4 linked regions of the Lonchura striata genome follow. The protein of the gene in region 1 purifies or fractionates together with the protein of each later gene. This does not show direct contact. Links are inferred from orthologs where the notes say so. Each region holds a gene or a part of one and is shown in the gene's direction. Other genes may lie near its edges.

Region 1 (7,511 bases):
CATGCTGACATTCTGATGTCTGATTTGTCCACTGGTGCTAAACTCTGCAGTCATTGCAATAGGAAGGGAAGATTTGGAACTTTGCTGAACAAGAGGAAAAAAAAAAAACCTTTTAAGTTTTCAGTGGAGACCTTTCATGGTGCCAATAGCTAGGAATCCATTTCATCTTAAATCAAAGCTGTCATAGGAGAGCCAATAGAATCTGAAAATTAGGGCTATGCCTTTCATGGGTTTTACATTACTCATTTTGAACAGAGCTGAGAGAAGCTTGGCATGAAGCCACTGTCCAGAACAATGTAGGGAAGCATATGTGGTTTGAGAATTACTCAATACCATTTGGGCCTTCAGTTTTTCCTGTCTTTCAGTCCAAGAAGATCCAGGATTCAGTTTTCTCTGCAGTTAAGAGACTCTACACAGTCTTCTTGAAAATCCAAGTTCATATCTGGATATAACTCTTAGCCAAGGGTGGCCAGAGTGTCAAGGTGGTCAAATGCAGTTCCCATAACAAGGTGACACCACCTGAGCAGCGAGAGGGCCCTGCTGGCATGGGAGCACAGGACAGCCCAAACCTCCAGCCCTCGAGGAACTGGGCTCACAGGGACTGCTGGAGGTGACACCCCTGAGCTGCTGTGGGTCCCTGCTGCATTCCCAGGCAGCCTCACCTCAAAGGGGGCTCCTGTGGAAACAGTCACCTCTGTGAGGGTGCTCCCCACCTTCCTGCATTAAAGGGAGACTGGTGAATATTTAGTGTCACCTTCATTCTTTGAAGCTTTTTCTATGGGGGAAGAGTTTGAAAGGTCAATATCCTTGCATTAGACTATTTTGTGCAATGCCAAGGTGAGGGAGTTAAACAAGTGGTTTCATGAGCAGCAGAAGTCAGGAACCCTGCTTTCCTCCAGATTTGGGGAGGGTTTTCTTCTCCTTCTTGCCTCGTTCAGGTGTAGGACCCCAGCACAGGATGATTACCCAAGACTGGATTCTTTCCCTAGGTGGGACAACTACTGGAATATTTTACTCAGAACAATTGCTTTTCCTGGAATTTCCAGCCACCTGCCCAATTCAAACTTGGCTGAGACAGCTACCAAGCTTAAAAATTATTGCAGAATACTGACAGAAAAGGCATAAGCTCCAGTTCTTCAGGAAGTCAAGCTATCTCTGTTTTTCACTTCCCCCATCATCCCAAAGACAGCTGGTGCAGTAACCTCTGGAAATAAAAAACTTGGAGCTTTTGCCCTCCGCTGGCAGGATTCTCACTCTGTCAGAGAAATAAAAACAACAACAACAAAGTCATTCCCTCCTGCAAAACTCAACAGGATGCTTCTCCAGCTTGCACACAAAGATGTCTTTGCCCAAACAGGAACACAGGACTCAAAGCAACAAACTGGATTATCAATCCATTACATTTGTGAAAAAATGGAGAATTCAAAAGGGGATCTACCCAGCCGCATTTCCTCAACTCCATGACAATATTTAAGTTACTGGCAGGATAATTTAACGTGAAGGCTTAAATGTCAAGCCAAATATTCTACCTTCTGCTGTTCAGCCTGACTTCAGCAAGCTGTTCTGCAGTAGATTCTAACTCACCCAACTTTCTGCCTGTCCAAAGCAGCCACCTGTGTCTCTGCAGTGCTCTTGTGTGGCCTCCTGTGCCCACCAAGGTTTGCTGTGTTTGCTCTCTGCAGGCACAGGTGTTATCCCAGAGCTGGCACACACCATCCATCCCAGGCAGGCACCTCTGTGCCCTTGCATGCCACTCAGATGAATCACAAATGCTCTGTGTGCTGTTCACCTGATAGCTGGAGAAGCACAGAGCACTGGATACATCAGTTGCTTGACCTAATTAACACTGCAGAAAAAAGAGGGGATGGTATTTTGATTCCTCCTGTTCTGACCTAGAAGAAAACCACATAAACACTGCATCTGGGCAGCAAAAATTAACAAACCTATCCCACCTCCCCAAAATGAGACAAATGTTTCCTGAATTAAATTATTTAGTGAGTGGGTTAAATCAGGACTTGACCTACATGATATATTTCCCATGTATGTGTTTGAATCAAAATTTCCAGTAGCTAAACTCTGACTAACCCCACCGCCCAGTGCTCCTTCTTCCCCCTTTTAATTCCTGGCATGTTGGTGATTTTTTTTTTTTTTTTTTTTTTTTTTTTTTTATTCACAACCCAAATATAAGTAAGGCTTTTGACATCCCTGAACTGTGAACAGTGACCGTGGGGACTCACATTAACATTACAGAGCTGTGTCCCCCTCCATAATTTCACTGTCAGGGTGGCTCTGCTGACAAGTGCATACAAAATGGAGAACAGAAAAAACACATGAAACAGGGAAGTGGCAAAGAAACAGGGAAAAATCATGAGGAAGCAAGGCAGACATTTTTCTTAAACAATGAGCTGGAGGAAGAAATAAAATATATTTTCTTATTAGACAATGCAATGATAAAGTTTCCAATAATATTAGCAAAATTCTGCCTTTGAATTCTGGGCAAAACTTATTGTATTACATCAGGTAATTTTGGGTGGACAGACTCTTAACTCTACATCACATGTCACAGTTATACACGATTCAACTCTTGCCATCAAGTGATTTTGTTTCTCTGACTCCAGAATTTCATCCAATCTCCATCTTAGATTTTTAAAGATATTAAATGACAGAACAGAAGGCTTTTGCACAATGTAAATGATCTCACTATTACAGAAGGTAACCTTGTTGACAAGTCTTCATGGTTACTGAGAAAACAACACCAACTCAAACTACAGCTCTGTTTGCCTGCATTTATCACCTGAAAATTCCTTTACAGCAGTGTAAGCTGGACAAGACCCGTAGTTTCAGGCTTCAGTACCACACGTGGCTAAGCTGATGAAAGAGCTGGTTATCCAGAAAGAGAAGCCTGGCTCCCCTGCTTTCCTTTCCCTGTGTGGTCCTGTCCCTTTTGGCAGCAGCAGGCTGATAGATTAGCTCACCACACCTTGGAGAACCTCACCCAGTGGCTCAGTCTTGAGTCTCAAGCCTTGTCCCCGTCTCAAGAGAACAGTTTAAGTTTCAGTACACACTGAAACAAAGCCCAGATAAATGATGAATAAGAGATTCTGTGTTTACTTTCATAGGAGGACTTAGCAGAACAGAAAAAGCCATAACCACTGAGAGTCCAGACTAGATCCAAAAAGAGATTCAGAAAGAAAACTGCAATATTCATAGTCAAACCAAACTAAAACAAAGAAACAAAAGCACAATCACTGAGACCTGTTTGTTCTGATACCACAGCAGGGACTCCAGCATTAGATTTACTGTCTTGTACACATACACATCCCCAGCCACTCCAAACCACAGCAGGGCGAGGTGTGTCTGACATCCTTGAGCACAATCACCCTTTTCAAGGCAAGGTCATACATGCAAAACTAACAGCAAGAGTTTGCAAATTAAAGGTGTTAAGAATCCTAACATACCAAGAAGTAGTTACTTTATAGGTGCAAGCAGTGGTAACTTTTAAGTGTTTACTCCTGTGGGCTTCAATGACTTACACCACCATAGGAGAGGGTGCCACTTTGTGTAGAGAAGGGGTTTGATATGGGAAGCCAAATGTTTTAAAAGCAAGCTTCCGTGACCCATTCAGAATGTGTGTATCTTGCTAACAATTCACCTTTCTAAAGCTTGAGATTAAAAGCTAAGTGGCCTGAACATGAATTATTTTCTGTGATATTCTGTACTTACTGTCTGGTGAAGACACCATGGGTTCCACTCCAAAGTCAGCTTAATCTGCCGCACTTAATAACTTTAGACTTATGCATGTACTGGAAAGCAAACACATCTGTGTCTTTGATACTGCAAGGCCTTTTGAGCAGTATTGAGACGCAGCTTATTCTCAAAAAACACAGAGAACGATCAGGACACTGGGAAATGTGTGCAGCGCGAGCTTAGCTCTCCTCAACACCTCTGGAAGGGAACAAACCATCCTCGGGAAGTTTAGAAACAATTCACACCAACTCGCAAGCTTCCGCAAGCATTCTCATCGATTCTCCTTTTGTTTTTTCACTTTCGGAACACCTCGGGGAGAAGCGAGGCGCTCGCTGAGGCGCGGGCGGTTCGCGCCGCCCTCCGCGCCGCTCTCGCGAGACGCCGCCGCGCGGGCTCCATCTTGGGCATCGGTGCGCGGAGCTCCGCGGGCGCGGCCGTGCCGGGCCGTGCCGGGACAGCGGGGACAGCGGGGCCGGCGCTGTTTGCGCTGTGTACGAGGTCGCAGCGAGGGGCGGAGGCGGTGGCTGCGGCGCCGCCTGCGCCGTCCCACCTGCGGCGGCAGCGTGTCCCCGCCCCGCGCGCCGGCGCCCCCGCCTCGCTCGCCGCTCGGCCGCACGACCGCCGGCCGCGCCTCTCGGGGCCATCCAGCCCCTCGCGGCGCTGCCCGCGGAGGGAGAGAGGGAGGGAGAGCGGCGGGGGAAGGCGGGGACACGGCCGCGCTCGGCCTCGCCCCCCGCGGCTGCGGCAGCGGGGCGGGGCGGGAGCGGCCGGCGGCGGCAGCGGGGGCGTCGCTGCTGCGGGGCCGCCCCCGCCCGGAGCGCCGAGGGGAGGGAGCGAAAGGAGGAAGGAAGGAAGGAAGGAAGAAGTCGCTGGTGCCGCTGCAGGAGCAGGAGGAGGTAGTGGCGGCGGCGGTGCTGCTGCAGCCGCAGGCAGAGCCTCCCCCTCCCGCCGGGCCGGGCGGGGCGGGCTCCGCAACCGAGATGTCTCAGGAGCGGCCCAAGTTCTACCGGCAGGAGCTGAACAAGACGGTGTGGGAGGTGCCCGAGCGCTACCAGAACCTCTCCCCGGTCGGCTCCGGGGCCTACGGCTCGGTGTGGTGAGCGCAGGGAGGGGACGGGGCAGTGCGGGGGAGGTCGCGTTAGGTCGCTGCCCCGCCGCCCTGCCGGGTCCGTGCGGGGCGGGCACCGCGGCGAGCGGGGCTGCTCCGTGCCCCGGGGGTTCCTGTCCCCCCGGCCTCCTGCAAGAGACACTTCTCCTCCCGGGTTTACGCGCGGTGCTGCCGGGAAGCCGCAGTCTCGTCTTTGGAATGCGTCGGGGATTGCACCACATGGCAGGTGGCTCCGAAACATTTTTGCAGGGGAAGATAATAATGTGTCCTTGCCGGCTCCCCCCCGTCCCGCCCCGAATGAGCTCATATGGATATATTTCAGTGACTTACGGACATATTTCACTGTGATTTCTTGCAGTTTGTAGGTGGGCAGTGCAGAGGGATGCAGCCTGGAAAGCCCCCCCCGCCATAGGTGGCTTTGCAGAGCTAAGGGCTTGGCAGCTCTTGTCCCAGTTTTCTTTCTGGACCTGAAGAATAAATTGTATTTGAGTCAGTTGTATTTTCATCCGGAATTTGTTGATAGGCAAGAAATAGAATGTAGGGAGGGCTGTTTTTGTATTCCTGACTTGTTAATAGTGGATTTACAAGCACCGATATTTTATTGGCAATAATAGATGAACACAGGAGGACTCGTTTTATTGCTATAGAATTACTGCAGCATGTGCTCCCTGGGAGAGTAAAGTCCTGCTATGAGACCTGCAGGAATACAGGGAGCTTGAAGAGTTTAGTTTTTAATGCTTACCTAATAGGAACAAACCAGGCTGCATGTGTGAGATACAATGCGTCCTTAATTTGTAGCTTCTCTGCTGGACTGCGGTGGATCATTAAACATAAATAGAGCTGCATGCTTGGCTTAACCTTAAAGACAAGGTAGTATTTGAATCGGTTTGACTCTTAGACTTTAGCAGTCATTTAGTTAAATGTGCACAGATTACTGCCTCCTTTGATTAAGAAACATCTTCCACCTGAGTCTTTGGGTTTTATTCTGTGTTCTTTGCTTCTGTCAAAGTGTGAGCAGAATTTTGAAATATGGGTGCATAATTACAAAGCTGCTTTGCTGTTTTGTTGGAGCAGGCATGCATATGTGTTTATTAATGTATGCAAATTTACATTATGGGTATCAGTTTTATTATAAGGAGGGACACATGCTGCATTCTCTTAGTACAGAAAATAAGCTCCTTTGGACATGCTACAGTTTTAATGAAATGCTCAGCTGTTCTTAACCTGTTATAAAATTGTTGGTAGAGTTGAGCTTAAATAACTTGCATTTTTTAAAATGCTGTGATTGAAGTGTGCAGAGGCTTGCATTTCATAAAAGTAAACCAGGCTGGTCAATTTTGTAGTGAGAATAACCAGTATATTTGCTGAGGTGTGTTTTTGGTTTGTTTCTTGTTTTTTTTTTTTTTTTTTTTTTTTTTTTAATATAATTATAGAATAATTTTGATTGGAAAGGAATAGACAGGTTTCTTTTGGTGAAAGAAGAACCTTGTTGACACAGCTGATAAATACCCCTGTCGGTGTCACAGAGTTATGCAACTTCTGAAATGTAATGGGAAATAAATTTGCTTGGTGCCTTGTCCTTTGTATTTTAAGGTTGATTCTACATCATATACCCCACTCCTATTTTCTTTTCTCCCTCCCTGTAAACTCCACTGTATAAGTAATAGTTGCAAAGTTTGTTTTCAACCAGTAACTAAAGACTTTGCATCATGAATTTCCTGTTCTGCTGTGTCAAAACTTTGAAAGATTGTGCAACTTTATTCAGACCAAGTGAAACAGTTTTGTATTGGAAGCAATTTCAGACATGTGGCAGACTTTTTTTACAGTCCATGTTAATGGCTTCCTGTATGTTCTTCTAAAAATAGTTTTCAGAAAAGATATAGTGATATGGAAAGTATGTCAAAATTGAAAAATTCAAGAAAACGACAAAAACTTTTGCATATTTATGGATGCTTATTAAGCTACAAGTGGTGATGCATATTACTTACGGTATTCCTGCGAGGACTTATTCTGCTCTGTCCCTTTAGAGATTTTTTTCCTCTCCAGTAAAAAGCCACCTAATTTCATTTGGTGTTTGGTGTATCCCTGTTGGGATAGTACATAGTGGTGTTTTAACAATCCTTAAAATGGTAAATCTATTTTCATGTATGTTCACTATTATTATATTCAAATGTAATCAAATGCTCTGTTGTTTAAGTTGTCAAAATGAGGCATTTGAAAATGAGGCATCTCCAGAAAGTGGAGGGGAAAATGAATAAAAAAGGAAGCATTAAGCTGCCAGATGAGTCACTTAGACTATGGAGCTGTTGTAAGCTGCTTTGAATATGGCTTGGAACTCCCTAATACACAAACCTGACAACTGGGGAGTCAGTGGATGGAGGGAGAGGCATTTTCTGCAGGACTGCCTGAAGTGAGAGCAAATATTGCAGTGTTTTCTGAGGGGTGGTGTGCAGTGTTGCAAGAATGAGGTTCAAATGGCCAGCTCAAGTATTTTTCAGGATCTATTTTTTAAGAACTACAAGTGTTAGAGATACAAATAGGGATTTGTTTCCAAAACTTAGAGAAAAATCTACGCATATCCTCAGATTGATTCTTCCTAAGTCACGTAACAATTGCCATGGCACCTGTTGTAGGAAATGCTGTTTCATTCATTCTT
Region 2 (6,825 bases), on another chromosome or scaffold:
CAGAGGTCCCTGGAATGCTGGCAGGGCTCCTGGCTGCTGGCATAGGCTGTGGCTGGGTGCAGAGGAGCCGGTGCTGTGCAGCAGCTTCTGTGCTGTGCCCCACAACTGATCTCTGCTATGCTCTAGGCTGGTCCATTACTGTCACCCCTGTCCCCCAGTATCCTCCCCCATAGCTGGTTGTCTTGCCCCTTTCCCCCAGAGACCACATCATGCCCTGTCCCCCAGCATTCACCTCATAGCTGGTAATCCTGTCCTTTTCCCCCACCTCTGCACCCTGACCATCTCCCTGCATCCTGGCCCATCTCCCAGTCCTGTCCCATAGTTGGTCATCCTGCCCCCTTTTCCCCAGCATGTGCATCCTATCCCATCCCCCAGCATTCTGCCCCATCTCCTGCTGTTATTGCTGGTCATCCTGCCGCATGCTTCAGCATCCTGCCCTGTCCCTTAGCATCCCAACCCACCTTCCAGTATCCTGCCCCATTCCCTAGCATCCCACCCTATTCCACCCTGCTCCTCATCCCTCTCCATGTCTCCACATCCTGCCTGGCCAGCTGTTTCCTAGCCTCTCAGCACCCTCTTGTGCTGCCTGTCCCTCTGCTGTCTGTCCTGAACTGTTCTGCTTGTCCATGCCTGCCATACCTTTCCATCTGGCTCTCCACCAAATCTCACTCATGCCCATGTCCCAGCCTGGCATACCTTCTTCCCCTTCTCCCACCACATCAGCCTCGCCATCCTTCAGCGTCTGCATTACTCCAACCCCCACCCTGCTTCACCCTTTCATCAGGATGTTCTCACCTGTGGCAGGGAATAAGATCACCTGGGAGGTGTCCTCCAGCTCCTCCGGCTCCACTTCAGTGTTTTCAAGAACGTCTCTCCGGTGTACCCTCCTTGCTTCCATCTGTGGCTCCTCCTGGAGAAGGGGGGGACTCAGATGTTCCAGCACCCGAGCCCGCACCTTGGCCAGGATGAGCTGCCGGTCGGCACCCGTCCCGGTGCAGCTGGCCAGGGCGGCGGTGGGCAGCATGGCAGGCAGCAGGTGCAGCAGCAGCAGCATGGCCGTGGGGCACACGGTGGGGTGCTGGCCTGGGGGGCTCTGCCGCGGGCTTCTGCCTGCCTGCCCAGCCCGTCTGCCCGCAGCGCTCCCCCCGGGACAGGGTGGCATTGAGATCTAGCTGACACTGACGCAAACGTCTGCTCGCCGTGAATATTATCTCTGAGCTGTGAAAGCGCTGAGACGTCTGGAATGCAAGGACTGCAAGGACAGTGTGGTCTGGGGGGCCGGCCCCCGGCCAGGGGGTGTGTGTGGGGGCTGCTGCCGGGAGCGGTGCGTGCGTGGGGCTGGGGAGGCCGGGCTGCGGGCAGGGTGGTGCCGGCAGCCGAAGCTGGCAGGGATGGAGGGGGTGCTGGGTGAGCTTTGCAGCTGCTGATGCGAGGTGCCTCCCATGGCGGAGGAGTGGAAGGTCTAGGGCTTCTGGGGAGCTAGTGGGAAGTGACAGCAGTTGTGCACGGCAGGGAAATCTGGGCAAGGACCTGGTGGGGATCAGAGGCCTGTGAGGCTCTGGCATGGGGGAGGCGCTTTGCAGGTGGCAGTCGCCAGGGCAGCCAAAAATGTGAGGATGGGGCCTTGGAAAGGGCAAGCTGAGGGACAGGGTGGTTGTGGCATCTCCATGACAGTCCATGACATCTCCATGACATGATTAGCAAGATCCTGGGGACATGAAGCAAGAGGGACGGCAAAAGGTCCTTGCTCTACCTGAGGCTGCAGAAGGCTGGAGAGGGGAGAAAAACAGATGAGACCTTCAAGGGGAGAAGAACAAATGAGAGGGGTGGGCCAGCTGGAGACCCTGCAGCAGGTCCAGGAGAAGGATCCTAGGGTGCTGTTTGGGCTGTCTAGCCATGGCTTGGCTCACAGGGTGGGAGTTGCAGGAGAGACATTGGCTGTAAGGAGACCCAGTCCCCTTCCTCTCACCACTGCCTGAGGGGACAGTGCCTATCCACTAACGCTGCATGTGCTGTGGATGGTGGGCAGCCTGTGCATCCCCTCTGTGCCTCTGGCAGCTCAGTGTCCTGCCCATCCCATCCAATATAGCCTGGCATTTCATGCAGCATCCAATGCAACACATCCCCCCATGCAGCATGTCCCGTGTGACACGTCCTATCTCACTGCAGTCTGGTGTCCAGCTCAGTGTACAGCACACCATGCACCCTGCACCCCATGCCACGCTCTCCACAGGGCACGTTGTCTCTCGCTGCTGGCTGAGCCGGCGCAGAGGCACAGCCGGGCCTGCAGCACCCCTGCAGCTCTCTGGGGTGGCTCCTGCTGGGCTGCTATACATAGGTAGGCCAGCCCAGCCTCGGTGAGGCGCTGAACGGAGCAGGCTCACTCTTATCAACCCCGCGTGTCATCAGAGGGTATTTTTGGGGACAGCAGCTGCAGGCATTTGTAACATTTGGTCCCTGCGCACTGACACCCAGAAGGGGAGCTGGGGGAAGAAGCAGGAGCTGGGTGCCGACACTGAGAGACACAGGGGAGAGGTGGCAGAACGAGGTACATGTGTGGGGCAGGGGTCTGGGCTGGGGGACTGCCTGGGGCAGGGAGGGTGGTTGGGGAAGGGAGTGGTTGAAGGGTGCAATGGTGCAGCCGAGCCATCAGAGCTGTCCGTTTGTGTCCAAAGGAGCTGCTGTGGGGTGGCCCAGGGGTCAGGGGCGTGTGGATGGAGAGATGAATCTGAATAGATTCACTGTCCCAGGGGTAGGGCTGTGGGAGGAGAAACTGGCCACAATCCCTGTCGCTCCTTGGGGACCAGCTCTCTCCTACCCTCTGGCTCATTCAAGAAGTATTTTTGTTTCCCCTCCCCCTGCCTGAGCAAGTCAGAGACGACCCTGCCCCAGTCCCAGCCATGGTGTGGGCAGAGGGTGGGTGCACTCAGCGGGGAGAGGCACACAGCACCCTGCCCTGCTCCTGCCCTGGTGGTGGGCACGGTTACCCACAAAGCTGGGGATGGAGACAGTGCCCTTCCATAGCAGGACCCACCTCCCTGGCTTTCAGCTTTCCCCTGGGGTTGATGATTTCCAGCTATGGTTTTGAGTGCACAAGGGCTGGATCCCGCCTGTGGGACTACTCTCTAGAACGGGGACCCCTTCCCCAGAGCCCCACTTCGCCCCAGGGCACTTTGCCCTGTGGGGTGGCCGCCCGGCACAGGGGGTCCCCTGCCCACCCAAGTCCGGGAGGAAGTCCCAGCCCGGGTCCAGCCGGGGCCTCGCGCCCGTGACAGCCCCGTGTCAGCACCTGCCCGCTGAGCCGGCCCAGATGCTGCAGGAATGCGGCTCTGCCACCACCCGATACTGCAGGAATGTGAATGCCCGGCGGGTGGGGAAGGGGCGGGCGGGGGCCCTTTTGCCTTCGCTGTCCCCCAGCCCCAGCACCCAGCAAGCAGCTGCCTATGCTCCCTGTCTAGGCCGGGGTCCCCCACCGCTGGAACTGGAGTCCCCTCTGCAACCCTGGGAAAGGGTGCAAGTGTCTCAGGCCCCCGGGGTGCAAAGAGCCACAATTTGTCACGTCTCCTATTGCCTTGGGCTGGGAAATGGATGGTTTGGGTGACACTGGGACAAATCCAGTGGGACTGCGCTGCTCTGGATGACAATGATGCTCAGGAGGTCCATGATGGGGATTTTGTGGGTCCCTCCTAGCTGGGGGCTCCACACTGGTCCATCTCTTCGATGGAGCCTGAGCCTCCACTGTAGTCTGTCTGTACATCCCCCCAGGCTGATGATCCCTGCTGCTGCTCCAGCCAGCTGTCTGCCGTGAGCCTGGGGAGTTGGTGATGGAGGGGTTCGGGGGAGCCCCCAGGTTCCTGGCCTATCCACGTGCCTTCACGGTCCAAAGTGGCACCAATGCAGTCCTGAGCTGCCAGATCATGGGTGATCCCCAGCCAAGCATCCTCTGGGAAAAGGACAAGAATACCATCGAGCCCTCGGGCCGTTTCCATATGGAGTCCAAAGGGGACCTGTACAGCCTGCTGGTGTCCTGTGCCACCCCCGAGGACAGCGGACTCTACGTCTGTAGGGCCAAGAATAGTGTTGGCGAGACTTACGCTGCCACCGTGCTCAGGGTAGAGCCAGCAGAGCCGCGAGAGGGGGAGGGATGCTCAGGCAGTGTCGCACCTGCCTTCCTCATTGCCCCCTCGTCCATGCGGGTGTGCCGGGGGGAGGATGTGATGTTCACCTGCAGGGTGTCTGGGCAGCCCTGCCCTGTGCTGGAGTGGGAGAAGGATGGGCACAAGCTCTCCGAACTCTTTGAGAGCAGCCACTTTGCAGTGGGGCAGAAACCAGAGGACTGGCACTTCCTGAAGCTGTTCGGTGCCCGGCCCCAGGATGGGGGTGTGTATGTCTGCCGGGCACGCAGCGGCTCCCAGGAGGCCCTGGCTGCCGCCGTGCTCCTGGTTGAACCCCAGGCACTGTTGGATGGGCTCCCCAATGGCTCCCCTGCCCACGGCCCCGAGGTACTGGCGGAGCGGCAGCGGTGGCGGCGGCACGCAGCGGGACGGCGCATGGCACCGGAGACCTGGGTGCCCAATGGCGTCGTGCCGGCCAGGGTGCCAGGGGCCAAGGCATTTGCTGTGAGCGCAGGGAAGCATGCCAAGTTTCGCTGTTATGTTACTGGCAAGCCCAAGCCAGAGATTATCTGGCAGAAAGATGGTGAACCTCTCGCCCCTGGCCGCAGGCATCTCATCTACGAGGACCGGGAGGGCTACTTCATCCTCAAGGTGCTGTACTGCAAACCTCAGGACCAGGGGCTATACATGTGCACTGCTTCCAACACTGCTGGCCAGACTCTCAGTGCAGTGCAGCTGCAGGTGAAAGGTAGGAACACGTCCAAGAAGTGTCAGAGGTGGCCAGGCTCTGGGGGGCTCAGGGAAGTTTGTCTGGCAGGGGTGTGTCTGTGTGAGAGCCCAGCATCATGGGGCTCCTTCCTGCCCTGTGCAGCCAGGGTCACCCCAGGCTCCTCAGGACAGAGCTGTGAGCTGGAAACAGGGGATGCTGGGCTTCTTCAGGAGCTGTGTCCTGCTCCGTGTCTCGCTTTCCTTGCAAACAGAGGTGTGGCTTCTCGGATGACTGCAGGTGTCCAGCCACAAACAGGGAAGAGGGACAGTGCCTTGGTGACAAATTTCCCTGGAAGTGCTGAGTGATTCTGGCAGCCAGCCCTGCAGGGCACGGCTCCAACAGTCTGCACTGGCAGCTGCCCAATTCCCCCCCGAGCCATCCAGCCAGCTGGGGACAGCCCATGGCTGGGGTTACCCAGGAACTGGTGCAGCCCCTGCCTACACCCCACTGCTCCCCTCCACTGAGATGCCTGCTGCAGTATGCTGGCTTCCATGCCCCTGCATCCCCCAAAACTCCTGCTGAGATACTGGAGGCATCCCTGTGTCTCCCCAGGCTGTGCCCTGGTCCTCCCTGCTCTGGGATATGTGCTTGTCAAGGCAGTGTCTGTCTCATGGAAGCCAAAGGAGAGGGCAAAGGAGGGACAAGAGTTTGCTGCTCTTTGTGAGCTGGGATCACCTTGAGCAAAGGGCTGACAGTGGATGCTGTACCCCACGTGCCCTAAGCTCCTGTCTCTTCCTGTGGCAGAGCACCGGCTGCGGTTCCAGGTGCAGCTGGCAGACGTGGAGGTAGCAGAGCGGGAGGATGCAGTGTTGGAGTGCCAGGTGCCACTGGAGACGATCCCCACCTCCTGGTACCTGGAGGACAGAGAGCTGCAGCCCAGCCACAAGTACGTGATGGAGGAGCAAGGGGTGGTGCGGCGCCTGACCATCCGCGATGCCCGCATCGATGACGATGGCATCTACCTCTGCCAGATGAAGGACAAAGGACGCAGCATTGCCGAGGTCTCTGTCCGAGGTGCGTCATGTCTCCAGCGGCACAGCTTTGCCTTCCTATTCCCCTCCTTGCCAGGGTCCTCACTGCTCCGTGCATTTGCCTTCCCTCCACTTGGCTGGTGCCTGCTGCTGCCCCTCCTCAACCTCCTCCTCCTCCTCTCCCACCTCAAAGAGCCCCATCCCGGTCCCCAGAATTCCTCCCTGGCCCTCATATATCTCTTCCCATAGGGGTGATTGTGAAGCGACTGCCACGGAAGCTGGATGTGATGGAGGGGGAGAATGCAGTTTTCTGTGTGGAGACACGGGATGTGGTAGAGGGCAGCTGCTGGAGCCGGGATGGGCTACAGCTGCGGGAGTCACCCCGCACCGTGCTTAAGAGCTTCAGCAGGACACACCTCCTGGTGCTGGTGCACGTCACCCGCCAGGACGCGGGCATCATCTCCTTCACTGTCGGGGAGTCACAGACATCCTCCCAGCTCCGAGTCAAGTGTAAGCTCCTGAAGGGGTCCTGTGTCCTCTCTCCTGCCTGTTCATGGGGGGTGATACAGAAGAGGGGATGGCATAGGCAGCCAATATGCTGGGGGTGTGATGCAGCAATGTGTTTTATGGGAAGGGGGCTTTGAGCAGAACTCCAGGATCCTAGCCTCACAGGCATTCACAAACCCCTGCAGCCAGCAGCATGCTACACGGGAGCAAGACCATCCTCTCCATCAGAGAGAGAATCCCCAAAGAAACAGGCTGTTACCCCCACTTATCACTTCTACCACCCCACCTAGAACCTCACTGCCATCCCCAAGCAGTCAGCGTGGGCTGTAACTTGCAGGTGTGAAGCACGACCCTCCGAGTGCACCAGTAGCAGCTGAGATGAGCGTGGTGGAGACTAACACAGCTCTGCTGACTTGGTGTCCTGCACCTGACTCCCACCTCCGCCCCGCCAGCCACTACCTGC
Region 3 (6,918 bases), on another chromosome or scaffold:
TTCAATTCTCACTTATTTCGCAAGATGTTTCCCTGGCAAACCACTCCTTTCCACCACACAGAAATCATGATGACGTTACTCAGGCTGTCATTTATCTTTCTCCTGTTTAATCACTGCTAACTGATTAACCAAATGAAGTGCCACAAAATCCATTAGCTGGAAAAGGAACAAGAAGCTGCACTAGCTTTTAGTAATAAAGAAAGAGAAACCTTTGTAAACAAGGTGCATGACCTTCTCTTGAAATTAGCCAGCTATTTCCTCTCCCTGGCCCCCAAGAACAGGAGCAGTGAGGGGTGACACACTTGCAGGCACTCCTGCCAGAAGTGAGGCTTGAACAGGTAGGACAGGGGGGAGTGTCAAAGTTCAAGGGCTGTTGCATAGCTGGTTGGATAGCCACCACAATATCTTTTGCCCTTGTTTTACCCCATATAGACACTTCTTATCTCATAAGCCTCATAAGGAGGCACAAGACAGGAATGTTAACCTTAACTCTTTCAGTACCATTTTCTCAAAAACAAACAGTGAACTTAGGCCAAAAAGTCCATCACCAGAAGTGTAGCAAAATACATTTCAGACTTGACAGACTTTAAAAACTTGGGAATGAGAGGTCAGCAGCCAGGGACACCAGCAAAGCCAGGCACTCTCTCTCCCAGATGGTTCAGGGGGTTGCCAAAGACACTCTCCTGGTTTGCACCTGCAGTTCAGATCATTTCCAGGAGCTTGCTGCACAAGTGGTAGAGAGGAATGAAAGGCTCTCAGAGGGGGAAAAAAAGAGTTAAGTGATGTTAAGACTCTGACATGCAAAGGCGTTTCTGCTCCTACAGAAGTGGCCCTGGCCAGCTGAGGGATGTCAGCTGCCAACACATTCACAGTTTGGCCACTGCAAACAGGAGGCAAAGGATACAGCTCCTACTCTCAGTGAAGAGAGGTCTGATGCTGCTGTCTTTGAGTCTTCCTGACTCCTGCTTTGTCTTCAGGTTAGCAATGAATCTGTCCAGTTTCACTCTGCAATGTTCTCCCAGATCAGATTTTTACCTCAAGCCTGGCTGAAAAGAAAAAGTTATTCTTAGTAATAATTTCAATGTGCAGGAATTAATTGTGATGCCACTGGTTTTGTCACATCTTTTATTACATTAGGAAAATAAAAATCCTGACTCTATACTGAAAAAGCTTTCATTTGCTGTTCTAGTACAAACTTTTCTGCATATATCTTTTTTTAGCTAAAAAGAAAAATATTTTCAAAATATCCCAAGTAATTCTTATTGTTACAGCTTTACAGTCAGGAATTTTTCACAGTCCCACAATTTAAACAAAACCTAAACCTGTTACATATGGTGCTAGTGAGTTGAGATGAGAAAAGGGAAGAGAGAATTGAAATGTCTTTCCTCCTCACCATGCAGCTCTCACCACTGCTCCCCACTTCTCTTTGTGAGGATAACCATGCTGGAACTATTTGTTCCTGCAATTTTCTGGAATGAAAGAGCTGGGGCACTGGCTGTCACCTCCAGTTTCTCTGGCACCCTCTCTGATCCCCTTTGTCAAAATGGGTCACTTCTAGCTCCATTAATCAGCAGTTAATTGTGCAGATTTTTAATGCTGTGGGCACTTTTGGGGTTTGAGAAAGGCATCTTTGGGACCACTGCTTTATTGAGACGGAAGGGCAAAACTGCTTTTCAGCTACTGGAAAAGGATACGTGCAAAACAGTGAACATCCCAATGTTAATTGCTTTACTATAATTTCTTCACTGCTTTTGATATTTTGTCTCTTCTGTGGAGCTTGGGCTTCTCTCTTGCCTGCATGCTCTGCACTCCCTCACACAGGAGTTCAGTACAGATGCCAACAAAGTGTTGTTATGAGATAGCTCACAACTCCTTAGCACGAGGGCATCATCAAGGTGGTTCTTGGTCAATATTGACAGCACAGAGCCCCCTCTCCCCCCATATAATGTATTGAGTTACCTTCTTCCTGAAACACCAAACACCCAAACCATTTTACTGTGAGCGACAGCTATGTGCTTTTCCAACGGCACTTTGGAAGAGACAGCCACCAAGAACATAAGGACCTATGCAGTTAATCCTCTTTCTCATGCTGTCTTCCAAGGGTTTCTGGCACAGGGATTCAAAACTGTCAGAGGTGATGGAGTTTGAATTCTGGTGTGCAAGCTGTCCTGCATGTCCTGCAGCGCCAGCAGGTAACGTGCCATCATAGTAATGATGCTTCTAAGGAAGAAAGAGGACCAGAAGATTCTGTCATGCCTGGAAGAGGGATGCACGACAGGTAGGACCCATGCAGCCCCTGAAGGATGTACTTTACCAGTTAGGCTTGGTAGTAGCCATAACAGATACATGTCAGGCAAAAGTAACATGTACTTGTGTGGATCTGCATAAATTTTCACTGTATGGCTTCAGATTTTTAAATTTATTTAAGGTTATTTAAAGGTCAAAGGCCCCCAGTGTTCCACATGACCCAGAGGGTGCTCTGCCCACCTCAGTGACAGGGGTTGGAACTGGATGACTTTAAGTTCCTTTCCCTTCCCTCAAACACTGTGGTTGTGTCATCCAGTAACACTACCACAGGAGGATGTGACCCTTCACACCCAGGTGGTTCTACACCGCAATGCACAGCGGCACACTGCAAAAGCAAAGGCCAGGGCGGTATTTACGGATGCCCCCTCAGCTGGTTCAGGGAGGAGAGGGCGAGGAGAGGGATGGCCGAGCGGACAAGGCTGCGGGCCCGAGGCGCTGCGAGGCGCCACCGGCCCGGCGGGCTCCGGGCCGAGCGGGGAAGGGGCGGCGGGCCGGGGGGGCCCTGTGGAGAAGCCGGAGCGGGGCGAGGGCCGCGGGGCGGCTCGGTTGAATCGCTCCGCGGCCGCGCTCCTCCCAGGGGCCGCGGCAGCCGGGCAGCAGGCTGCGGAAAGTGAGATAACCCCCATCCGGCCCCCGCCATCGCCTCCCGCCGCCGGGATCCTCTCTCACTGCTCCTCCTCTTTCTCCTTCACCCTCTCCCCCCACCTTCACCCTCCGGCTGAGTTCATTCACTGTGATTGGTTTCAAATGACGCCATCGCTTTATATTTACACCAATGACCTCATCCCAGCAGCTTGAAGTTTACGGACCAGCAAAACTCTTTTCTCTCGCTCGTTCCTCTCCTTGTGCTTGCTCTTCCCGAGTGTTTGTAGTCGCTTCTGTCATTCTGGGATCCTAAGGCTTAAAAACAAAACCAAACCAATAACCCCAAACACAAAGACCAAACGCGCGCACAAAAAACCCCAACCCCCCAAACTTTTTCCGTCCTCCCGAGCTTTTCTCTCTGTGTGTCCCCCTTATTACTGTCCCTTTTGAATTTTTTCAAGCCATCTTGGGGAAAGAGAGGGAAAAGAGAGTTCCAAAGCCCCAAATATTTCCTTTTTCTTCTCCTCTCCCCTCCCACTTTCACGCTTCCCACCCTTTAAAAAAAACAAAAAAACCCAATATATTTTTTCTTTTCTAATTTTTAAATTTGCTGGGGCTTGGTTGTTGTTTTTGGGAGGGCCTTTTTTTCTTTGGGTTCCCCCCCCCCCCCCCCCCCCCCCCCCCCCATTGAAGAAGTAGGAAAAAGAGGCACTTTCCCAGGGACTGGAAGAAGACAAAGTTGTTTCGGGCAGCAGCGGCGAGGCTGGTGGGCAATTGATTTTATCCTTGCCGAGGGGACAGGCAGCCAGACTGGCAGGGGTGACACAGTAAGTGCCGGAGCAGCGCAGGGGGACCCCGATCCAGGGCCGCACCGGGGAAGCCAAGCCGGGAGGGAGGCGAGGGGCGCGGGGGGGCCCGGCCGGGCCGGGCCGGGCTGGGCGGGGAGGAGGGGGAGGGAGGTGAGGGAGAGGCGGGCGGCGGGAGCCCTCCCTCCCTCCTCCCCATGCCCTTCCCCGCCGCCCCCTCACCTCCGGAGGAGAGCGCCCGCAGTGGACAGGTCGCTGCCCCGGCCCGGGCGGGCTCCGGCCGCCTCCGCAGGCGGTAAGAACGGGGGCCGGAGGGAGGGGGAACGGCACAGACACCGCACGGCACCGGCGGCCGCCCCGCGCTGCCCTCCCTACCTGCTGCCGGCACCCTGCTGCCCGCGGCGGCTCCTGCCCCCCGTCCCTTCCCTGTCCTCCTCCCGACATCCACCTGCCTCTCCCCGTGCGGGGAGGAAGCCGGGCGCCGCCGGAGCGCGGGGCGGGAGGAGGCGCCGCCGGGAGAAGCGATGGGAAGGAGCCCGCGGGGGGCTCGGCGCTGCCCGTGAGCCGCGGCGTGCGCGGCCACCCTGCTAGACTTAGCCTGGAGCGCTGGCTCCGAGCGCGCTGCGCAAAACGCTTAAGGATGCTTTAAAGCCCCGGAGGGCTCCCGAAGAAATGCTGAAGTTCTGCCTTCGCCTTGGAAAGCGTTTAAATTGAGGCGACTGACAAAATGGAGGGCTGCCGCGGCGTCCAGGAGGGAGGCAAATTGTTAACCTGGCATCGCGCTCGCCTGAGCTCCCAGCCCGGGGCTGGCGCCGGGAAGAGGCCTGACTGATCCCCGCTCCCGGCTTATGTGCCCCGACTCCGGCCCGGGATGCGGGGCTGAGCGCGCATCACCAGGTGTATAGGATGTGCCTATTGCCGAGCCTGACCAATAGCAGGATTTTTCAGCGGCTAAAAAACATTTGGTTGTATGCCAGATGAGAAGCTGGGATTTTTAATTTTTTTTTAAAAAAATATTTTAATTTTTATTTTTTAAGAAAAGGAAACCCAGGAGAATTTACCATCATTTCAGCTGGTTGAAATATAAAATAAATTTCTTTGGTTCTCCTTCAAATGAAGGGTGTAGTGATAGCGAGCTATATTGTCTGACCAATGACTAATTTTTCTGTTCAAACATTCAGTGTATACCTAGCAGAATAAATAGATCTGTTGTAGTTTTGAAACATAAAAGCAGATTGAACTGCTTCTCTTTGCAGGGACGTTTGTTGGGGTTCTTAAAAGAGAAAATCCCAACCAAAACCCAAGAATGATTTTGTAATCCTTGCTCTGAGATTTATGCTATTCCTGGAAGTGTGTGGTTTGTTAGATACAGAGTTTACAAAGTCACAACTGACCAAACAGGAGTTGGTTTAGACTCTTGTGTTTTGAGAGGAGGTGGAAAAATAGTAAGTCTTAATTTCTTTTTATAGTGTTCATCCCACTGCTCATTGGAGATTGAAACACAGTTGTTTATGTTGTCTGGGAGTTTCTGTTTGAATGTGGACCGAAGTATGCAGTAGGGAGGTGTACATGTATTTTTAGCTTTCATGTTTAATGACAAAAGATACAAAAAGTAAGGATATTCACAAGTAAATCTTGCATTTACTGAATATGGTCGTTAATATTTTGAGGATGGAATCTATAAGAAATATCTGAGTTGTAGTATGTTCCACTTGTTGTGCTTGTTTCATACAATAGTGCTTTAGTAAATCTTAACAGACAATTTAAAAGTCCCTTTTAGAATGAACAAATACCTAAAAACAGCAGAGAATGTGTCAATTCCTGTGCTACAGATGGTAGCTTCAAAATGCTTTGGTTTAATACATATGGGAAGGTCCAGAAAAACAAACCAAGCATTTAAAAATGTAACATGTTGTATGAAGATACCTGTTAGCTACACAAGCAGATGTAATGGAACAAAATCACACCAGAAAAGCTTCTGTAGAAGACAGCGGGCTCAGTTATCTTGGTTTCTGTAAAAATGCATGCTCCTCTTCTAGCAAGGACAGCTGGCTGGGCAGGGGTGTTTGTTTTTAGCTTGGCTTGACCATGGGGACGGTATCGGCAGAAGCTGTGCAGGAATGTGTTAAATGGATTTCTCTGGGAGCTGTCTCCCAAGCCAACCCCGGCGGGATGCCAGCCCTCAGCCCGTGGGAGGAGTAGTGGTTGTATCTGCCTTGTGCCTGTGTACCTTCCTTGGCAGATCGACTCTGCCAAGGAGCTCTGTGCTGCTGCTCATAGGGGCAGTGAAATCATATGGAGTCACTGGCAACTGGGTGTGAGATGGGCCAGTCGCTCCTCTGCCTATCAGATAAGAGATTCACATAAGCCTTCCAAAGCTCTCAGGGGCTACATTCAGGCTCTCTTTGTAAGGCCGCCCTTCATAAGAAATGTCATATAGACAAGTTAAGTGTTGATTTCTGTTACCTGTATTTATCTCCCAAGTGAGTTCTGTTCCAACACGTTGGGCAGTAAGAGGTGTGTGCAGGGTGAGGGCTTTGCTCCATCACCAGGGTTTTTAAAGTTCAATGCCATAATCCTCACACTGATTCAGCAATATTCGGTTCTCAAAATGCAATTTTGCTAAGAAATACAGTAAGTACAGCTGAAGTATTTTTTCCCCTAAAGAAAAAGGAGGCAGAAGGATGATAGCTTTCACTTTGTAGTATAACAGCTGAATTTTCTAGGACTTTTATTTCTTTTTCCTTTCTGTAGAAGCAGTCAGGAAAGCATCATTGATATTCTTCAAGTGCTGACAGTCTTTAATAGCCAGATGGCATAGAGTAGATACTGTCAAAGGATGAGGTATGGAAGGATTGACACATCCCTTCCTGTTTCTTTTCCATGTTTTTTCCAGCCTTTGAAAGAAACATGGTCTGTGACTCCACTGAATCTGCCCCTATGGATTTGTTGTTATGATAGTGACTAAATGCTTCTTGCAATCTTGTAGTATTTTGTGCATGGTTGTGTAATGCTGAATCCTTCATTATTTAAGAATTTTCAAGAAGCTGGTTTTCTTGGTAATAGGGAAGAAAGCGTGTCCCTAATGTGTCAAATGGTACATTCACTTTCCCTACAATTCCTTAGAGATGGTTTTCAGAATGAGTGTTGCAACATGGAAGATTTCTCTAGAATATTTTAAACTCTGATAAGTACAAATGAGTATTGCTAGTGTTTCTGT
Region 4 (7,602 bases), on another chromosome or scaffold:
GTTACTATATTCCAGCAGTAGTTAAGGCTAAACACAGTCAGTGAGGAATGTGTGAGGGTCAAGGTGGAGTACCTTAGTTTTGTGCTGAAGTGCAGGTGATCCTCTGAGTACGATTAAGGGACTACAGATGTAGAGACATTAGATAGAAATGACATGACATGATGGAACAAGCCTCGTTTATCCCACCCACTTTCTTATTAGACTCAATGAGGGATGACAACAAGCAAAGAACACTACTTCTTTAATAACACGACATACCTGGTCCAAGGAGTAATTAACATGTGAGATGGAAAGGTGTGGGTCAGCCAGAAACTATAAAGATAAAGCAATTAATGAAGATTAATTATCACAACCACTAAATGGTGACGCTACCCAAGGTATGACAGCTACTAGTCTAGCAGAGATTAATCAAAACCTCTAAAATTGAAAACAGAAGCCACAGTAGTCTGAGACAGCACTGGGCTAACAGAGATGGAGCCCTTACAGAATTGAAGGTAGAGAGGATAACACTTAATAGAATGAAAAGTAATTTACAATGGCATCTCACAGGAATAATTTGGAAGGCATTCCTAACGTGGAAAGGAAAATACCTTGTTTCATCTTAGAAACTACTACTAACATATTAATTGCAGAAATTACAAGTTTCCACAATCTGCCAGCAGCACTACAGCCTCTTGTTCTGTATCTCTCTCCTTTACCTCTTGTTCCAGGTCAAGTAGTGCCTGTCGATAAGGCTGCAGCACTGAATCAAGACCTGTGCAGAAGGCTCTCAAATAAATGCCATGCAATCCACTCTGGTTTTGCTGAGATGGATGGTGATCCTGAAACCAAACAATAAAATCTGCCTCAGCATACTCGTGCAAGTCTGAAGAGTAATGTAGTATCTGTGCAGTGCCACAGCAGTTGTCAGTGCTTTAAACCTGTTGAAATGCACCTTAGCTCACCACAAAGTGATCAGAAAAACAAATACAACCTTTTCACAATGACAGTTACTCGAGCAGACTGATGTTTAGTTCTTTTGTGGACCTCTGAAAGTGCTGGGAGCCTTTGGTACCAGTGCTTCTTTTCACTTAAGTGTGCCTCTTGGATCTCAAGGCTCTTCGCACATCATGAGGAGATAGTCATGAGCATCCCGCTCAATTGACAAACCCTGGCCAGTCTGCTGTGGTCAGAAATTATTACAAGACGTCCCCAATAATAAGATTTTACATTTGATTCATTATTCTTCATTGCTCTCTACCCTCCCTTACAAGCATCGCGAAGAGCTTTCTGGAGCTCTGCTCGGTGGTGGTGCGAGCGCGGGTATGGGCCACGGACCACTGCTGTGTCCTGGGCAGCTTGGCCTTACTGGCACCTGCCGCGCTCTTCCCGGGCAATACCTCGGCCCAGTGACCCCACCTGCTGCTGTACATGTCCCGTGTACTGCTCCACGAATTCGGCGAAGCGGATGTAGTCGGTGCCGAGGCGGCAGAGCCGGTTAAGGACGCTGGTCTCGCTGGGGTGCAGAAACGGCAGCTCCTGAGACACCTGGAAGAGAAAACAGCGGTGAGGAACGAATGGGCGGACGGACGAGCCGCGCAGGCCGGGGGGTGGGGGGCAGGGGGCAGGCGGGGCGGGGTGGGCTTTGCCGGGGCCGTGCCACACCTGGAGGCCGCCGCGCTTGCTCCAGGTGAAGGCCGCCCCCGGGTAGCCGCTGAGGGCCAGCAGCAGCTCGTGGATCATCCTGCGGCGCGGCGCCGCGCGGGCTGCCGGGAGCGGCGGGGCCGCCGGGAGCGCCGGGCGGGGCTGCGGCGTGCAGCGCCGCCGAGGCTCTGATGGCCACCGTCCGTCCCGGACAGCAGAGCTGCGCTGCCCTCTACGATACGCCTCACGAGGTTTCTTTATCGCTTTCTCAGGTTATTTGTCAGTGTTTTATCAGCGCCAGTTTTACCTTTCTCCATTTATTATGTACTGCTTTCCTTCACTTCCTGTCGTAATCCGGGTAGACTTTTATTCAAAACTGTCTAGTTTGAAAACTATGAAGTCATTTAATAAAGTGTTTTTTAGCAGCCTCTTTTTCATTTACCCCCCCTATTTTTGACAGTTTTTTCCTCTATGTACATGTTTACTCTTCTTCATTTAGAAGAAATTGGTGTTTAGTCTTAAGGGTCATCTAATTTGTATTTGTTTCAGCTTGCCACAATAAGGTCTGAAGGGTAGGAAGAATATGGGCATGTACTAGCTATAGCTATACAGCTTTATGTGTAAATTGGAAGCCCCAACATTGTTGTTTATCATATATGAGGAGTATAATAAAACTATTGTCTTTCTGTTGACAAAACTTCTAGCATCATAATAAAGACTGAGGAGTTGGCCTAGACATTTGTTATGCATCCTTGACATAAATATCACAGTATACAATTGGTCTGGAAACCTCTGCAAAAGAACAGATAACAGTAGTTTATTTAAAGGATTTCGGTGCTCATTTTCTCTGGGAAACCTAGTGATTAGTCATTAAAGCAAAAATCTTAAAAGAATTTTTTGGTTGCTCAAATTTTGAAATGAGAGAAAAATAGGTATCTCTATGATATTTGCAGGGCCATCTGACTAGTGCTCATTAAACACTAGGGGGGAAAAAGACAAGGAACAGGATAGGCAATAAATTAGGCACACAGATACACAACTTTTAATAAAAACATTTTGCAAAGTCGATAACAAGCACCAGAAATCTTAAATCAGGGGAGCTGTTATAGGTACCATTGAGTCCAGCTTTGAAGAGGTTCAGAAAGGTTCTTTGATGACATGTAATAATCGTGTTTTATTTTTCTTATCAGAATGAGATGTTTTTGAGGGAGGTTTGTGGCACTGTGCAAAAATGTTACGAGATTTTTAGGGGGAACAAAATGAATTCTGCACGCCACATTCTACATATAAACATTATTTTAAATGTCTTCTCATTGCATAACTTACAAGTGGCTACATGTGAAGTAATGCAAATGTTAATAAATAGAATCCTAACTGTATTATAAAACCTTTTGTTTTGTAATTTATGTCTGGCATTTCCCAATGTAGTTATTTCTGTAACCATTGAATTATGTCTTCCTTTAATCAATTCAGTTCTCTAAGATTGTTGAGTCCAACCAATGATCGAATGCCACTTTGTCAGCTAGATCAAAGCACTAAGTGCCACATCCAATCTTTCCTCTAACACTTACAGGATGATGTCTCCACCACGTTCCTTGGCAGCCCATTCCAATATCTCACCACCCCTCCTGTGAAGAAATTCTTCCTAATGTCCAAGCTAAACCTGCCCTGGCACAGCTTTAGGCTGTGTCTTCTTGTCCTGTTCCATGTTACCTGTGTATATATAGTAAGTAAATATACTTTTTGATGGGCTCATGGAATCACTGATTTTGGAAGTGACCTCTAGAAGTCTCCAGTCCCACCTTGTTTTCTCAATACCAGGTGAACTCAAGCAGGTTTGTCCAGGACTATGCCTAGTTAGGCTTGAATTTTCTCCAAGGACAGAGACTCCATAACTTCTCTAGGTAACTTGTTCCAGTGTTGAGTCACCTTCAGAATACAACTATTTTTTATTCTATTGAAATGGGACTTTTTATATTTTTCAGTCCATTGCCCACTGCTTCTTGGCATGTTCTCTCGTGCTCTCCTCATATGTCAGATGCTCCAAGCCCTTAATCAATTTCACTGTAGTTGTTCCATTATGTCCATGTCTTCCTTGTACTGAGGGAGCTGAAACTGAATCCACATCTGGGAAGATGAGAATGATAGATTGACTCCTTTGCCTGCTGGGGATGCTTTTCCTAACAGAGGCTATTGGTTTTCCAAATTACTTAATGTGTACTTAGGTAGTAAATGTATGCCCTAGCAGTGAAATTCATGTGACTAATTAAAATGGACACCTGGTGACTGACACTGTCAGTACTCTGACCCTTGAACAAGAAATAGGCAAAGCAACAGTAATATGTACTGAGGGGAAGGAAGTTTTCAGGGCATGATTCTCCTGTGGCAGTGCTGCTGGATGTTGCTATTGTTTAGGGGCTTCCACTGCTTCCACTTGTGGTTGACATTTCATATGAGTTACCATGGTTTGGTCAGTAGAGCTGTTTATGCTACATCCAGCAAGGCCAGGTTTTGCTACTGTGAAGGGCTATGCAGCTGAGGAACCTGGCAGGGCAAGAGGGCTTAGGCGAAGCAGCATGTGGGAGGCAGCCGGGCTTTGGAGGCTGAGCTGTACTGCACACAGTGGGGCGCACGTGGGCTGCGCACACATGGCTGGGCTGAGAGGGTAAAATGTGGGTCATGACCAGGTTGACCTGGGCTGTGTCCCGCGTATGCTGGCAGAGTTTAGGTGAGAGCTTAGCTGGGTGTTAGTTATGAGGCTAACAGACAGATTCAGAGCCAGGGCGCTGGCCCTGTGAGAGGGAGAGGGACCCCGGGGAGAGACAAGACGGCCAAGCCGTGTCCTTCAGGTTTACGGGACGGGCCGAGCTAGATTGGGGCCTGGGTCCGGCCGGAACGGGACTGCGCAACTCATCCTTTCCAGCAGCGCCGAAGGTGGCGGGGACGCCTCGGGTGCGGCCGGGGCGGGGAGAGAGAGCGCGGCGGGGCGACTCCTCCCCCGCCACACCCGGTGCGGCAGGAAGAGGAACAGCCGCGCCCAGCTCCCGCTAGCCCCAGCCCAGCGCAGCGCCATGGCGGCGGAGGACGTGGACGGGCTGGCCGTGTCCCGGCCCCACTATGGCTGTAAGTATCGGGATCCCGGGGTGAGGGAATCCGCGTGGCCGCCAAGCGACGCCCAGTCCGAGCCGTCCGTGCTTTCCAGCGTTCAGCGCTGTGAGGGGAGGCTGGGCCACCGCAGGCATGGGGGGAGCCGCGGGCTCCGGGACTGCCCCTCGGGCACGGTGTGCCCCGCCGGCTCTCCTGGCGGGCCCTGTCGAGCTGCGCCTCCCGCGAGATGAGCGCCGTGCCGCGCGGGACCTTGTCTAAGCTCGACAGTCCTCCTGAGGGTTGGAGACGAGTGCTGGGAGAAGGCAGTGGATGAGCAGCAACGCGACGTCCCATGACTGTGCGGCCGTCGTCTGCCGCGGGCGAGCCTTGCACCTCGCCCAAGATGTCCGCCGCGGGCGGGGTGGGGCGGGGGCGGCCCTGCCTTCCGCCTTCCCGCCGATTTTGGCGACCACACCCGATTTTCTGGGCGAAACACCGCTCCCATTTGACACCTTCATTGCCTTGTCGTGGGCTTGCTATGGAGAGGGAGGCTTTGGATCTTAGCGTCCGATGTGCGGGCTCACCTACGCTACTATACCGCGTCAAAAATGACCAACGGCGGAGGAAAACGTGGTGCTGTGGAGGGGCGATGTTGTAAGCGACAGTCGGTCCGACCTGGTCTTTTAACATTCCAGGGATGGGGCTGCCACAGCTTCTCTGCCTCACTATCTTCTTGGTTCAAGAATTTCTTCCTGTCATCTGCTCTAAATCTCTCCACTTCTAGTTTTAAACTGTTCCCCTTTGTCCTATCAGCATTTCCCTCTTCCTTTTATAAGCTCCCTTTTAAGTACAGAGAGACCACAGAGAAAGCCCTCTCCAGGCTGAGCAACCCGTACTGTCTCAGCCTGCCTCTGTGGGAGAGGTGTTCCAGGCCCCGGAGCATCTTTGTTGCCCACCTCTGGACGTGCTCTAGCAGGTTTTGTGCTGAAGATGCCAGTGTTCCTGCTGGGGTCTCACAAGTGCACCATAGATTGTTGTTGAAATTATCTTAGGTATAAGCTAACCTTTGCTTTATTAACAGTATGAAACATTTCCTATTTGTTAAATTGGTCCATGATACCTAAAAAAGTTGACATGAGATGTATTTAGCTGTAAGTATGGGAAGAGAAGACTTTTTTACTGAGACTTTGAACACACAAAATCTAGAAGATTTAGGCATATTACCCCTATGTAGGTCTTTAGCGTGATCCAAAGATGGCATGTAGGTTGGGAATCTGAATGATTCCCTTCCATGTAGGGAGTGTGAGTAGCATTTCTACCTTGCTTTAGAGGTGGACTATAAAGATATAGAGGGGGTTATATGATGTTAATATGTATTTGTGTCCTTCCTTAATCTTTTGCTATCAAAATTGGAGGATTGGTGAGGGGACAAGTGGTCACTGATGTGCTTTTGAGGAAGACAAAGGCAAAGGTAGAAGAAAATAAGAAAATAAAAGATTGTTTCTAAGAAGTTGTAAGAGGGATGCTGTGAATTTGAGAAATCAGGAAGAAGGAAGCTGGCAAATTTATGTGACAAGGATAAGGAAATTGAGTGTTTTCTCTTGCTAGTAAAGAACAAGTAATCAGATCCTTAGTTTGCTGAATTAAAAAAAAACAACCGTGATGAGTTTCTGTGGGAGAGGTTGGATCTGATTTTTGATGTGCCTGTTCCATTACATTCAATGTTCAACCATCTGAGGGCTGTGTTTCATTTATTTTCAGCTGTTTTGGATAATGAGAGATTAACAGCAGAGGAAATGGATGAAAGGCGACGCCAGAATGTAGCCTATGAATACCTTTGTCATCTGGAGGAAGCAAAGAGGTGAGAATAATTGATTTGGAAAGTGGTGGTGCTTTAAAAGAAGATGTGACCTTTGGTATGGGGAATAATTTGGATGCATATTACCTCTTGTCTTGGTTTCTTAGTGGCTATATAGTTTCACTAGAAAAAACAACCAACCAAAAAAAAAATCAAAGAAACTCCCTTCCTCTGTGAAAAAAAAACAACTGACCTCTGATATGTGTTTCTAAGGTTCTCAAAGACTTCATGACAAGGACTACGTACCTGTTTGTTCTGTTATTCCTAGCACTGGATGGGTTCTCCTGATGCCATGATGATTTTTTACTTTTTCTTTTTATGTACCACTTATATATTCCCAACACCCTTAACGTGTGCATTTGTAATTCTTTGAGTCTGTAATACCTTAGCATAGTTCTGGTATTCTGTTAAGCCAGAAGACCAAACATCCTGAAGGCCTTGCAGTGGGAGGCTGAAAAACCTTACGGTATCTTGAAAAACCAAGACCCCCTCTAAAACATGTCCTGTAAACTAAAATTAAGTCCATCTGAGAGAAAATACTTGACGATAAGAACATTCACACTGTTCATTTAAACCTCTAATTGAAGCATCAATTTTAAATATACTAATTTACAAAGTCCATAAAATTGTATATGCAATCTACTGTGTGTGTACGTTTCTACTTATTCCACCTTGGTGAATTAGTGTGCCATAGAAATACTTATTAGATACCGAGATAAAAAAGCCCTTTATCCCTTAACTGTATCTAACTCTTAATGCCCAAGAAAAGGCATCACTTCCTGTTGTCTAACTTGTATATGTCTGGTGCAGTATTGCCTCCTGGCTTAGCAGTGCACATGAAAAATTGTTACTCCCTTCCTCTTAACTGAAGCCTTTTACAAATTTAAATTGCAGCAGTGTATATTCCTTGCACACTGAGAACTCAATTCTTGCGTATTTCTCCATGCATCCATCTATTTAATAGATCTGTAGTACTTTTCCCTGGGTTGCTTAGACTTCTCTCCAGGCACTCAGTGTCTTTCTGGAAATCCTCT

What was found.
Region 2: the proteins of MAPK14 (region 1) and OBSL1 purify together in Homo sapiens (affinity purification with mass spectrometry; 6 studies listed by BioGRID and IntAct, counting the BioPlex papers as one, with this or other methods). This does not show direct contact. The link is inferred for Lonchura striata from reciprocal best matches to the Homo sapiens genes MAPK14 and OBSL1.
Region 3: the proteins of MAPK14 (region 1) and DUSP16 purify together in Homo sapiens (affinity purification with mass spectrometry; 7 studies listed by BioGRID and IntAct, counting the BioPlex papers as one, with this or other methods). This does not show direct contact. The link is inferred for Lonchura striata from reciprocal best matches to the Homo sapiens genes MAPK14 and DUSP16.
Region 4: the proteins of MAPK14 (region 1) and IQGAP1 purify together in Homo sapiens (affinity purification with mass spectrometry; 3 studies listed by BioGRID and IntAct, counting the BioPlex papers as one, with this or other methods). This does not show direct contact. The link is inferred for Lonchura striata from reciprocal best matches to the Homo sapiens genes MAPK14 and IQGAP1.

Annotation. Positions count from the first base shown.
Region 1 is NC_134632.1:4,665,586-4,673,096, forward strand, and holds the start of MAPK14 (mitogen-activated protein kinase 14), read left to right. Parts: upstream 1-4,506; 5' UTR 4,507-4,727; coding exon 4,728-4,843; intron 4,844-5,292; exon of another isoform or gene 5,293-5,322; intron 5,323-6,843; exon of another isoform or gene 6,844-6,940; intron 6,941-7,511. UniProt on the Homo sapiens protein: Serine/threonine kinase which acts as an essential component of the MAP kinase signal transduction pathway.
Region 2 is NC_134610.1:16,234,778-16,241,602, reverse strand, and holds the start of OBSL1 (obscurin-like protein 1), read left to right. Parts: upstream 1-3,824; coding exon 3,825-4,863; intron 4,864-5,628; coding exon 5,629-5,898; intron 5,899-6,104; coding exon 6,105-6,365; intron 6,366-6,699; coding exon 6,700-6,825. Other genes in the region: INHA (inhibin alpha chain), read right to left, coding at 796-1,162. UniProt on the Homo sapiens protein: Core component of the 3M complex, a complex required to regulate microtubule dynamics and genome integrity. It is unclear how the 3M complex regulates microtubules, it could act by controlling the level of a microtubule stabilizer.
Region 3 is NC_134607.1:10,378,309-10,385,226, reverse strand, and holds the start of DUSP16 (dual specificity protein phosphatase 16), read left to right. Parts: upstream 1-3,913; 5' UTR 3,914-3,993; intron 3,994-4,073; exon of another isoform or gene 4,074-4,296; intron 4,297-4,469; exon of another isoform or gene 4,470-4,590; intron 4,591-6,918. UniProt on the Homo sapiens protein: Dual specificity protein phosphatase involved in the inactivation of MAP kinases. Dephosphorylates MAPK10 bound to ARRB2.
Region 4 is NC_134613.1:24,619,039-24,626,640, forward strand, and holds the start of IQGAP1 (ras GTPase-activating-like protein IQGAP1), read left to right. Parts: upstream 1-4,602; 5' UTR 4,603-4,694; coding exon 4,695-4,746; intron 4,747-6,471; coding exon 6,472-6,571; intron 6,572-7,602. Other genes in the region: TUBGCP4 (gamma-tubulin complex component 4), read right to left, coding at 259-312, 699-821, 1,399-1,527, 1,645-1,722. UniProt on the Homo sapiens protein: Plays a crucial role in regulating the dynamics and assembly of the actin cytoskeleton.